Canis lupus familiaris: one gene and its partners. The protein of the gene in region 3 purifies or fractionates together with the protein of the main gene of each other region. This does not show direct contact. Links are inferred from orthologs where the notes say so. Each region holds a gene or a part of one and is shown on either strand. Other genes may lie near its edges.

Evidence for each region.
Region 1: the proteins of TXNIP (region 3) and WWP2 purify together in Homo sapiens (affinity purification with mass spectrometry; 3 studies listed by BioGRID and IntAct, with this or other methods). This does not show direct contact. The link is inferred for Canis lupus familiaris from reciprocal best matches to the Homo sapiens genes TXNIP and WWP2.
Region 2: the proteins of TXNIP (region 3) and NLRP3 purify together in Homo sapiens (affinity purification with western blotting, with the first as the bait; 4 studies listed by BioGRID). This does not show direct contact. The link is inferred for Canis lupus familiaris from reciprocal best matches to the Homo sapiens genes TXNIP and NLRP3.

The regions. Positions count from the first base shown.
Region 1 is NC_049226.1:80,388,959-80,392,101, forward strand, and holds part of WWP2 (NEDD4-like E3 ubiquitin-protein ligase WWP2), read right to left. Parts: intron 3,092-3,143; coding exon 2,958-3,091; intron 2,637-2,957; coding exon 2,496-2,636; intron 1,877-2,495; coding exon 1,756-1,876; intron 1,410-1,755; coding exon 1,305-1,409; intron 394-1,304; coding exon 297-393; intron 138-296; coding exon 65-137; intron 1-64. UniProt on the Homo sapiens protein: E3 ubiquitin-protein ligase which accepts ubiquitin from an E2 ubiquitin-conjugating enzyme in the form of a thioester and then directly transfers the ubiquitin to targeted substrates.
Region 2 is NC_049229.1:335,703-339,901, forward strand, and holds the start of NLRP3 (NACHT, LRR and PYD domains-containing protein 3), read left to right. Parts: upstream 1-1,323; 5' UTR 1,324-1,408; intron 1,409-2,934; 5' UTR 2,935-3,164; intron 3,165-3,316; 5' UTR 3,317-3,368; coding exon 3,369-3,645; intron 3,646-4,199. UniProt on the Homo sapiens protein: Sensor component of the NLRP3 inflammasome, which mediates inflammasome activation in response to defects in membrane integrity, leading to secretion of inflammatory cytokines IL1B and IL18 and pyroptosis.
Region 3 is NC_049238.1:59,433,951-59,438,321, forward strand, and holds the start of TXNIP (thioredoxin-interacting protein), read right to left. Parts: upstream 2,857-4,371; 5' UTR 2,568-2,856; coding exon 2,318-2,567; intron 1,807-2,317; coding exon 1,734-1,806; intron 1,624-1,733; coding exon 1,476-1,623; intron 1,257-1,475; coding exon 1,154-1,256; intron 1,021-1,153; coding exon 764-1,020; intron 672-763; coding exon 515-671; intron 407-514; coding exon 255-406; intron 114-254; coding exon 78-113; 3' UTR 1-77. UniProt on the Homo sapiens protein: May act as an oxidative stress mediator by inhibiting thioredoxin activity or by limiting its bioavailability.

The DNA of each region.
Region 1 (3,143 bases), on a different chromosome or scaffold from region 3:
CACCCGCCGGGCTCGTCGGGGCTGTGAGGTTCTGGCCACCTCCCAGAAACACCAAAACGCTCACCACGTGTGGCTCCGGGGCAGCCAGGTTTCCTTGCCAACCTTGTCGATGCAAAACTTCTGTGGTCCGTTGCTCCCTGTATCCGAAGAGAAGCTCTTCATATACAAAGGACGGCCCCTTCGTAGGGCAGGGCCCCGGCTCCACCCACAGGAGCCTCAGGCCTCACCCACTGACTCACCCGAGCCACTGCCCTCAGGCCCACCCTAGGGCGCCAGCAAGGCAAGGGAAGACCTACCAATGAGCTCAGCAAAGCCGCCAACGGGCAGGCGGCAAGTCCCAGTGACGAACTGCAGCAGCCGGATCCTCTTCTCGTTGTCCATCTCCTTTACCACCTAGAACTCCGCCAGTCAGAGCAGAGCCAGGCTACCCACTTGACCCCAAACCTCGCCCTAACCTGTGACTCCCATCAGCCAGGACCCCTCTTTGGGGCTGAGAACACAAAGCCCGGGTTGGGGTCGGGGGCTACAGCCACCAGCCTTGGAAACCCCAAAGCTGCTCCATCTGAGAGGCTGAGTTTGTAGGACATTCCCACCAACCCATGGGACATCTCTGGGGCTCCGGGGCACCCCGAGCCAGGTATTCTTTTCCCAGCCAAGTTCTGCTTTTAAACATATAGTAAGGATGGAAGTGATTGCTTAATGGGTATGGAGTTTCTTTTGGCGGGGAGATGTAATGTTCTGGAATTAGATGGTGGTAATGAAAGACCAATGTGAAAGACCAATGAACCGTAATACCTTAAAATGCTTCACATTGTGAATCTTATGGGATGGGAATTTTGCCTTCAAAAAGAGATTTTTATATACCTTCTCTTTCTCACGTATGCTATACTTCATAAGGGAAACGACAAGATCTCACATTTGGAAGAATCAATTCATTATATCCAGGACTCCGAGCTCATTCAGTTTCTCTGGAGACCAGCACGTGCTGTCCTGTCCCTCCACCCCCAGGCTGGCAGGAAACCACACGGCCTGGTGCTTTCCTTCCCGCACACATCGGCTGACCACTAACACGTCCCGTCAGGTGCACTGGCCACAACCCAGCTGCAACAGCTCTGTTCACCCCAAGGCTGGGTTCCTCTTCTCCTCCCACCAATGGAGGAAAGTGCCAAAGATGAGGGAGGTGACCCCCCAACATGTGTCCAGGAGCCTGGGATCTAATCAGGCCTCTTTCCTGTGGCTGACCACTAAAATATCCCTTCCAAGACCCTTAGCCCAACTCGGCCGGGACGGGTCCCAGGACCTACCTGCCAGAACCACTGGATCTGCTTGCTGTTCTTGGTGTAGTGCCGATAAATAGTGTTCTTTTGCCAGTCGCTCATGTCTATCTCCTGCATGCCGCACAGCATCAGCTGCAGGGGGACAGGTGTCAGCAGCCCCAGGCCCACCCCCTCCCCACAGGTGCACAGCGCCTCACCCACTCACCAGCAGGTGGAATCGCCCCAAACATTTTCATCTATTTCTGCTGGCAGTGGGAGTAATATGGGTGATAGGAGTCTTGAGCATGGACCCCCTCAAAACCAGGACCAGGGGAGGAACAGATTTGAGAGATCAAATCACAACTATCCGCCCTGCCGCCTCCATCCAGAGGGAAGGTGAAGTTTTACTGGCGGGTTTCTGCAGAACCACGGTTTGCCAGCAACGGGCACGACTGCCCCAGAGGCAGAGGCTCAGGGTCCCGGGGACCTCAGCTCTCACCTCCAGCTCTTTCTCATCAAAGTAGCGCAACCACTCCAGGGGGGCCACCTCGTTGAAGCCGTCCAGGAAGGCTTTGGTCTGCTCTTCCACGCCCCGGGTGAAACGCCAGTCGGTCAGCAGCCTAAAACCGAAGGTGCGCTGTCAGGGGAGCCAAGGCCCACTGCTCAGGCACAGCTCGGGCCGGCCACCGGGCCACGGTCACACAGCCGTGAGATATCAGCCCAGAGGCCGCGTGGCACACACCCAGACCCACTCCGCATCGGCCTTGGGAGCAGCCAGGGCAGTGGGAGACAGCTGAACCTCTGACATCCCACCGCTTCCTCCCCATCCCACCACTGCTGACTGAACTTCACAAACGTGGAGGTCAGGAGACTAGACCGAGAGACCTGGAGAAGGCACGTGGGTGAGTTTGCACACAGACACACATGCAAGGATGGGCTCAGACACACGGACACAGAAATCCTCTCTGCCAGAGAAAGGAAAGGGAGATATCGAAGCTTCCTGCCTCTTCAAAGCCCTGCAGTCTTGAAGCCTTGCACGTGGGGGAAAGAGAGCAAACGGCAGCTCTTCCGGGTGGCCAGGGGCTCCGGTCAGCGTGGGACAGGCCGTGGGCAGCCCTCATGTGCCGATGCCACAGGGGCGGCGGCCGTGCCCCTGGTGAAATAGGGGGGGCCTGGCTGGAGCACGCCCCAGGACCGAGGGTGGCTCTGCTCCCGCCCCCTGGCCCCCGGGATACTCACATGATGTACTCTTCCTTGTTCTCCTCTGTCACTCGGATGCTTTCCCCGCCTTCCTTTAGCTCGTGGGTTGTCACCTTGCCCAGGATCTCCATGTCCTGGATGAAGTAGAGCTCCAGACCACACTCTTCCAGGTTGTTCTCTCTGGGGGCACAAGAGACCGAAAGGGAAAACGTCTACCTTAGAAGGGTCTCCCCTCATCCCACTCTGTCAGGTGCATCAGCGCTCAGAGGATGCCAGGACCCGCAGCCTGAATCCAGACAGTGGCCTGGGACCTCCCCCTGACCACGGGGAGAATTCTGGAGCTGTCCCACAGGGAAACCGAGGAGCTGCGTATCTCCACCAGCACTTACACAGCTGGTATGCGCTCAGGGCCACTCCAGCAGAGAAAACACAGGCCAGCGATGCCTCCTCCCCAACCAGAGACCCCTGTCCTCCCAGCACGGCGCGGGGGAGAGGACTCACTTGATCCAGACAATAGAGTTGTAGAATTCGGGGTCGATCGATTCCAGGTCTTTCAGGGTTGGTCTCTTGTTGAGCATTCGCTTATAGAACGGGAGGGTGAAGCCTGTGTCGATGAACTTTCCATGGTACAGAGCCTGCGGAGGAAGAGGCACGCCAAAGGTGTTTGGTCTTCTTAGGACACTGCCC
Region 2 (4,199 bases), on a different chromosome or scaffold from region 3:
CAGCGTCTCTGACTCAGGTCCCGGCCATCAGTTCATTTGTTCAGTCCTTGCAAGAACCTTCTGCAATGGATGCTATCTGCACAGAGAAACGGACCCGCTTCCAGTGCTGCCCCCTGGTCGTGGACTCTCATCCCTCCTGCTCTAGGCCCCATGCTGGCCCGAAGAGCTGACCTCCTCTCCCTCACCACGCTTGCTCTATGTACACGGGCCATCATCACACTGTGGTCCTGCAGCCGCCACACGTGCCTGGAAACACGGTCCGGGTGCTGCTTGGTCCTCTGGCTCCTCTGGGGCAAAGCAAGGCATCCCTCCAGGCTGGCATTCTTGCCTGGCACCCACTGGGCGCTCCGTAAGTGCTCACAGACTAAGTGAGTCCATGAGTCTAGGAGCAGGGTTTGTGTCTGCCCCAAGGAATTGAACTTAGGATCTCGGAGAGATGTCCACACTCCCATGTCCGCTGTGGTATTATTCAAAAAGGTCAGATACGGAGACAAGCTAAGTGTCCACAAGTGGAAGAAAGGGTGAAGACGGTAGGTACACATGTCTACACCACATGCCATGGGGATTATTCGGCCACGGGGAAAAAGGACATGCTGCCATTTGCAACAACGTGGGTGGAGCTGGAGGACGTGAAGTGTGTAATATCACTGTACGTAGACTCCAAGTTCGTCGGAGTCACAGAGACAGAGAGTGCAGGGTCAGGGGCCCGGGGCTGGGAGGGGGCAGTGGGAGGTATCGGTTGGGGGCACGCAGGCTGTGACGCCAGAGGACTAAGTCCTGGAGATGGGCATATGGCGCTGTGCCCACAGCTGGTCATTCTCTGCTGTGCTTGGAATACTTGCCAAAGGGCAGGTCTTGTATTAAGGGTTCTCACCATACACACAGAACAGCATTAAAACAGCAACAATAATAAAGGGGCGGGAGGAGACTTTGGGAGGTGATGAGCATGGCCTCGGCAGAGGTGAGGTTCTCACAGGCGTATCCTCAATTCAGAAAAGCAGTTGAGGACGTTGACAGGTGGTGCACAGAGCCTTTGCCGGCCAGCAGACTGTGCCTGATGGCTGGAGGGCCAGGCATGCTCCTGATGCTCTACTTGCCAGGCCCGGGGGGTCCCCTGCCCCACTGTGCTCACTACCTTCACAGCCCTCTCATGGCCGCTGGGACGCCCACGGGGACACCCCGCCTCAGGGGCCCCCGAGAGCACGGCAGACGTCTCTGGCTATGGCCGAGATAAGCACGCTGCTCACTGGTGTGGAAAATCCACAATATGAGTAACTGTTAGTCTCCAACCTGGTGATGCAAGCTTGTTCACTCCATGCTGAGGCCACATCCTTCCTGCCCTGCTGGGCTGTGACCACTATAAATTCATCAAGTTTCCTCTTGGGCTGTTTCTGAGGCTGGTGTCCGGGTGAGTCCAACTCTGTGGAGCTGCATGGCTGCAAGAGTGTGGGGAGAATGAGGAGGGGCCATGGAGAGCCGGGGGTGTCCTGTTTAGCACACTAGGGATTCTCCGGCCAGCTTCCAAGCCTGCCCTTCCACAATTCTGGAAAACCCTTTTTTGTTTTTCATTACTGGGTCCTAGGCTTGTGTGCAAGTGTGTGCGTAGGGACTGGGGAGTGGGGGGGGGGGCAGGTAGGGACAGCCACCACAGCTCACACCCACCCTTGGGGCGGATTTGCCCAGCATCCCCCCAGGGAGTGGATGGAGGGGATGTGGTGGGGATGTGGACGTCCTAGACACCGCAGGACACAGAAGGCAAAGGTCAGGGTAGAACGCATGGGGCTTAGAGGCTGGGGGGCACAGAGGAGCCGTAGAGTCCTGATGTGGATGGCAAGGCCGACCGGGGTCCTGGGATGGTCCACAAAACAGGTGGGTCTACCTGGACATGCCCAGCCCACCGCCAAACGCATGAGGAACGGATTTGGTGGGTGCGTGGAGCCAGGAGTGCAGGGCAAGATGAAGGCACAGGGGAGGCAAGCATGCTTCAGGCATTGTGCACACACACTCTCTCCTGCAGTCCCACCCTTCCTCTCCCTCCTGTTAGCGACCCTCATTCATGGCCTTGGGTTGATGTTGTGCTTTCCCAAACTCAGTCATGTGGCGGGATGGATCCCAAACAAAGCCAACATGCTTATCAGCCCAAATCTTGGAGACGCAGAAGAGCAAGGACACAGCAGCTGAACTTTGCTCTATGTGGAACTCTGCATCCCTGTAGAAAAGCTGAGACCCTGAGCTCTAAAAAATGGTGGGCTGTGCGTGGAAAATGCTGGGAAAGTGGTTTGTTTTTGTTTTTTGCCTTTTAACCACCTATTTTATTGTCTTTGTTCTTTTCTATGTTTTTCTGAGATACCTCGTTAAGTGATGGAAGAAAGAATCACATGCTTTTTCTTGCTATGAAAATTAGTATTTAGGGACATGAACTCAGAAATCAGTGCCCCTGACCTAAATCCTGGCTTTGAACCCTTTTTTTTTTCTGCGAAACCCTGGGCAAGTCACTTAGTTTCTGCTAAGATTCAGTTCCTCTTCTGTAAAATGGGCCTAAGCATATGTGCACCTCCTAGGGCTTCGGGAGAGTTAGATGCACAGCACATGAGTGCGGCACCTAGGCTGCGAGAGGCTCTCAGTCCCCGTGGGCTCTAATGATGATCACAATTGTGAATGTTGAAGGACACCTCAGGGAGATGTATGTGGTCATCACCTCCCCCTACGCACCTCGAGCGTCACCCACTCATCGCTATCGATCAATAGATGGATGGATGTGCAATTGGAGACCTCCCCTGTCCAGGCGCGTCTGTCTTCTTCCTCCGTCCAGCCATGTGCTGCTCTGTTACTACCGTACTTACTCATTTCCGGGGTCAAAACAGAAATAGGGAACCAGAGCCTTTCCAATGGAAGGAACTTAAAAGCCATATTTTCCATTCTGTCATTTTATAGATGAAGAAACAGAAGCTGAGGAAGACTTTGCCCCAGGCCATTCCTCAGTAACTAGTGAGAACAAAGTTCTCCCTGTGGTGCACTGTGGTGGCTTAAGGCTGCAGGTTGGGCTCACAGTATTATCGACATGGTTCCCTGTGCGGGTTTAACCTCTGTTTCTCTCCAGAGGGACACTGTTCTTCCATGGCTCAGGACAGACTCCTGAGTTGAGCCAACAGGAAAACGTTCTGGTGAGTATTTGGGTCATTTTTCAAAACCTCATTATGGTTCAATTCTCTATTTTTTCTCCTTATGTTCTGGGTTTTTCGTGGGTTCATTCTCTTTCAAGAGGGCAGACTTTTAGGAAGATTCTGCTTACCCATGTGCTGTTTTCATCATCCAGCTTCCTGGAGTGGACCTATGCCCAAGGGCCCTGAGCCAAGCTGCAGAGGAGCATGGCAAGCGTCCGCTGCAAGCTGGCTCGTTACCTGGAGGACCTGGAAGATGCAGACTTTAAGAAATTCAAGATGCACTTACAAGACTACCCTTCTCAGAAAGGGTTCAGCCCTCTCCCTCGGAGTCAGACAGAGAAAGCTGACCACATGGATCTGGCTACTCTGATGATCGACTTCAATGGTGAGGAGAAGGCATGGGCCATGGCAGTGTGGATTTTTGCTGCAATCAACAGAAGAGACCTTTATGAGAAAGCTAAGAGGGATGAGCTGGAGTGGGGTGAGTGGAAGATAGACAGCATTTTAAAAAATCGTGATAAGATACACGTGACATACAATTACCGTCTTAGCCATTTCAAAGCTATGGTTCAGCAGCATTAAACACATTCACATTGCGCAATCAATCTCCACAACTTTTCTTTGTCTTGCAAAACTCTGTACCCATTAGACAACAATTCCTGTCCCCCTCCCCTAAGCACCTGGAACTACCACCTTCTATCCTTAAGAATTTGGCTACTCTTAGTACGGCTTATGAACAGCTTCATAAAGTATTTGTCTGTTTGTGGCTAGCTTACTTTATGAAGCATAATGTCCTCAAGCCTCATCCATGTGGTCACATACAACATTATTTCATTCTTTTTCAAGGTGGGATAATATTCCAGGGTATGTGTATGCCAAATTTTGTTCATCTATTCACCCATTAGTGGACATTTGGATTGCTGTTAGCTTTTGATTATTTTGAACAATGCTGCTAAGAACACGAGGGTACAAACCTCTTTGAGACCCTGCTTTCAATTCTTTGCGGGATGTGTTCAGAAGTGGAATTATTGTATT
Region 3 (4,371 bases):
CTCTGAGAAAGTAAGAGTCCAGGAAGAGAGGCAGAAAGAAACATGTTAAGTACAGCTGCTTCTTTTCTTCCACAAGTTCACTGCACATTGTTGTTGAGGATGGAGGGATCCACCTGGAGTGGGGGGAAGAGAAACAAAAGAAACGATTATTTTAGTTTGGGTAAGAACTAAAACAACCACCCAGTTTAGCAGTCCTTCCCATTCAACTTCCTGTAAGAGGCTTAGAGGACAATTTGTAAAATGGCAATGATCACCTCTGTGTAAGTCGGTGGTGGCATGAACTTGAACTCAGGAGCATACATAAAAATAGGGCTGTCTTGGGAACCATCTGTGTCATCTAGTAGAGGAGTAGTGGGGCTCTCCAATCGGTGATCTTCAGGAATGATATCCATATAGCAAGGAGGAGCTAGAGAAAACATAGGCATAAGAAGTTTGGCCAAGAAATGCCTGACCGTCACAATTTCACAAACCCAAGCAGGTCAAAAAGGAAGAAAAAACATTAGGTCTGGCTCACCTTCTGGGGTATCGGGAATATTGAGATCTATCCAACTCATTTCAGAGCTGGTTCGACTGGCCATGCTCGATGTCCGACTGCTCAGACCTGATCTGCTACCGATTACCAGGGGCAGATCAAGGATGACCTTCTTGGAGCCAGGAACACTAACATAGATCTAGAAAGGAAAAATGACAGTTAGTTAGACTAGAGGTTTGGAGAAATGACTATTTTGACAGATGAACAATTTCTTGGACTCCATTCACTCACCAATAAGGAGTATTCAACTCGAAGGATGTTGCAGCCCAGGATAGAAGGCCTGATCTTTTGCACCCGAAGGCTCTTGCCACGCCACGATGCACAGGTTCCTGAAATGATGTGATTGCCTCTGACAGATGACAACTTCTGTGTCAGCACTTTGGTTTGACCATTGGCAAGGTAAGTGTGGCGTGCTACTATGGCAGCTTTGGGAACCATGATGCGCGAACATGTATTTTCAAAGTCAGCATGGATGGAAATTTCATCACCTAACAATGATAAAGACAAAAACTTATTAGCTGACGCTTAATACAATTAAGGACTTCTACCCCTATAGCCTGCCCTCACTCCCAAACCCACAGTTCCTGTTTTATCAGACTACCTTTTTAATTAAGTTTTTACCTTCACAAAATCCTTTTCTGTCAATTCGGGCAGAGACAGACACTTGTCCATCAGGAATAAACATGCAGGAAACTTTCTTCTCCTTTTTAGCAGACACAGGAGCCTGTGTTAAATAGGGGTAAAAAGACATTTTGAGACTTTCTAGAGATCCTTCTCTTTTTTCTTTCTACTCCTTACCTAGAATAGGCAACTTTCCCTCCCACCTTGGTAATCCATTTAGGACTGGATCCCCTGAGGTACATCAGTCTAATGCCTAAGACACTTGACTTACGACTTACCATCCCCGAAACCCAAGAAAACATAATTTTTAAATGAACCTCACCATTAAATCAGGAGTGTTGACATCCACTAAATCCATCACTTCAAAGAATTTCTTTGTCTCTTGAGTTGGCTGGCTGGGGCGATCAAGAAAAGCCTTCACCCAGTAGTCTACACACCCATATTTTCCTTTGAAAGATGTTCCCAAAGGCCTGTGTCAAGAAAAAAGAAGCAATCTAAAACTGTTCTCCAAGAACAGGTGATCAAAGGTGGCGAATTTTAGAGATAAGAAAGTCCAAAGATGCATTTAGTAGACACCTACCCCTGAGGAAGCTCAAAGCCGAACTTGTACTCGTATTTGTTTCCAGGTCTCATGATCACCATCTCATTCTCACCTGAGAAGAAAGAAGAAAGAATAGCCCATCAGGTTTCTTGTTTCACTTCAAATGCATCTGTGTGATAAGGAATTCCTGGGCAGCATGCAAGTCTATTGCAGGTCCCCTATTTTCACCCCCTTCTGTTCTTGAGAGATCCTGATGCATTTCGTTGGGCAAAAAGTTTCAAAGCCTTGCAATGATGAAAGGCTCAACCAGGGCAGTGAAGCTACTACCCTCTCAAACCGGAAACGAGCGAAGAATATGCAACTTATGCACACAGAAAACCTTTAAATAGTTAAGGCAGCATACCTCAGGATCACCTTCAGAACAGAACACTGTAAGAAACTGTACAAATCACCCCCCCCCTTTTTTTAGGAGTCTGCAAGTTAAAACTAAAAAAGGAAACAACATACAAGTCAAGCTACTCAACCTTAGCAGCTTGAAATATTCAGCATAAGCTGCAAGCATTCGTTTCAACTCTATTCTCAAATCAGCTTTCACCCTCCCGACAAACAACGGGGCCACTCACCTGTTGGCTGGTCTTCCAGGAGAAGCGTGTCTTCGAAGCGCAGGTATTCAGAGGTCTGTTTGCACTGTTGGGATCCCTGCATCCACAGGACTTTGGCCACTCCGCAAGCCAGGATCCTGACAGCTTTAACTCGAGTCACTTCGCACACCTCCACGACCACCCGGCCGGCCACTTTCTCCCCGCTGCCATACACCTTTTCAGGGTCGTTAAAGACCACCTCAAAAGACTTGATTTTCTTGAACATCACCATGATTGGCTGGGCTGCCTTGACAGTTATAAACGGGGGGGAGAGAAAAAACAAAACTCCAAATCCAAAAATGCTCTGCAAAAAAATTATTTCACTCTTCAACTCTCCGCTAAGATTTCAAAAAGATTTTGGAAAAAAATGTAAGCTGTGGGTGATGCCGAAGGATCCCCGGGGGAAAAAAAAAAAAAATCAGCTTTCTGTTCTTTTCTCCGACAGCTGGAGGAGCGCCCCGACTCTAGGAGAGCCCGAACGGCCCACCCCGCCAGAGGAGACGGAAGGAGAGTTGCGGGGAGCAGCCGGAAACTGCTTTATATAGTCGCCCGGGCTCGCCCGGCCACGCGAGCGCTAGCCCTGAGGCTCGTGCTGCCCTCGTGCACAGCCCTCCCATTGGCTGCCCGCCCCTTGTTTACCAGGAGCCCAACCAATCAGCGAGGCCGCAGCGGCGCGTGGACACGGTGTGCTCCTGGCGGGGAAAATGGTTGTTGTGCACGGCAGCCTCGCCGGGAGGAGGGAGCGGAGGGGCTGCGGGGCCGCCTCCCTCCGCCCGAGGACGCCCAGGGGAAGCCCGGAGGGAGCGGGCCCTCGCGGACCCTAGCATTTATCACGGGGGGTGGCCGTCGGGGGGCGGGTGCAGATGCTTCTGGGGTGGGAGCAGCGTTTGAAGCGAAAAGAAAATGTGCTTATGTGGGAATTTCGTGCCTAACCTCAGCCAGTGCAATAAATTTAGAGGCGACCGTTTATTTCCGGCTCACAAGTCGCAAGTCCGGTGAAAAATAATCCCTTAACTCCAAGAATACTTCAGAATTGGGGCAGAGGCCAGGGAGCTTTGGTGTGACTGTTGAGGAAGAGCCCCTTTGTCTTTCTCTTGCCCCCGGGTCTCTATCCAAACCCCTAAATACCGTGACAGAAAGGGGAACTTGTCACAAATTGTAAAGCTCTTCTCCGTCGTGGGTGGGCAGCGGTCCGGGGCGCTGCTCGGCTTTCGCGCTCCCTTTCCGGCGCCCCCGAACCTGGAAGCCCCTGTACCCTCTCTCTCCGTTCGCTCTGTTCTCCCTGGAACGGAATCAGGGCGTGTTCACATCCTGTTCCTTTCCCCCTCATCTCTTCAGTTTCTACCTGCAAAGTTGGGGGAACACTTTGTTTCTATTCCCCCAGTTACCAATATATTACTCTTTTAGTAAGGTATGTACTTGAAACAAGATGCTTCCCTCGTTTCACTTTCCTCCTCAGCTGCTTGCACTCTTCCTTGTCTTCATCCCCTCTGCAACTCACCAAATCAGAGGCGCATCTCTAAATCCGTAGCCCACACTCCTCACAGCCGAGTTAAAAGTTCTCTTGTTTATATGATCAAAGTGTCAGTAAAGAGATGGCTGCATTCCTGTTTGAAGGAAGAGTTTCCGTATCTTTTAAAAGTGTTTTTCTAAGCCCTTTATTTTAGAAATCCCAGTGAGGAAAGAAGACAAAAGGATCACTGTATTCAAGCTAAAAGAGACCCTGACTGATCACTCTTTATTGTCATTTGTCAGATTCCCCCCTCCCCCCAACCTGGCATGAGATGCCTTAAGGACCTGACTCCTGAGAAATTACTCATAAATGCAAAAACAAACAAACTTGCAGAGATAAAGGCACACATGGACGCACCCTTTTTTTTTTATTTTTATTTTTATTTTTTTTTGATTCTTGGGCCTCTCCTGTCTGTGTTGAAGTATCAGGAGATTTTTACCTCATTTTTTTTTTGTCCTGGCAAGAGGAAGACAGTGTTTCCAAGATTGAGATGGGGAAGTAAATAAGACGTATGTGGGTGTAC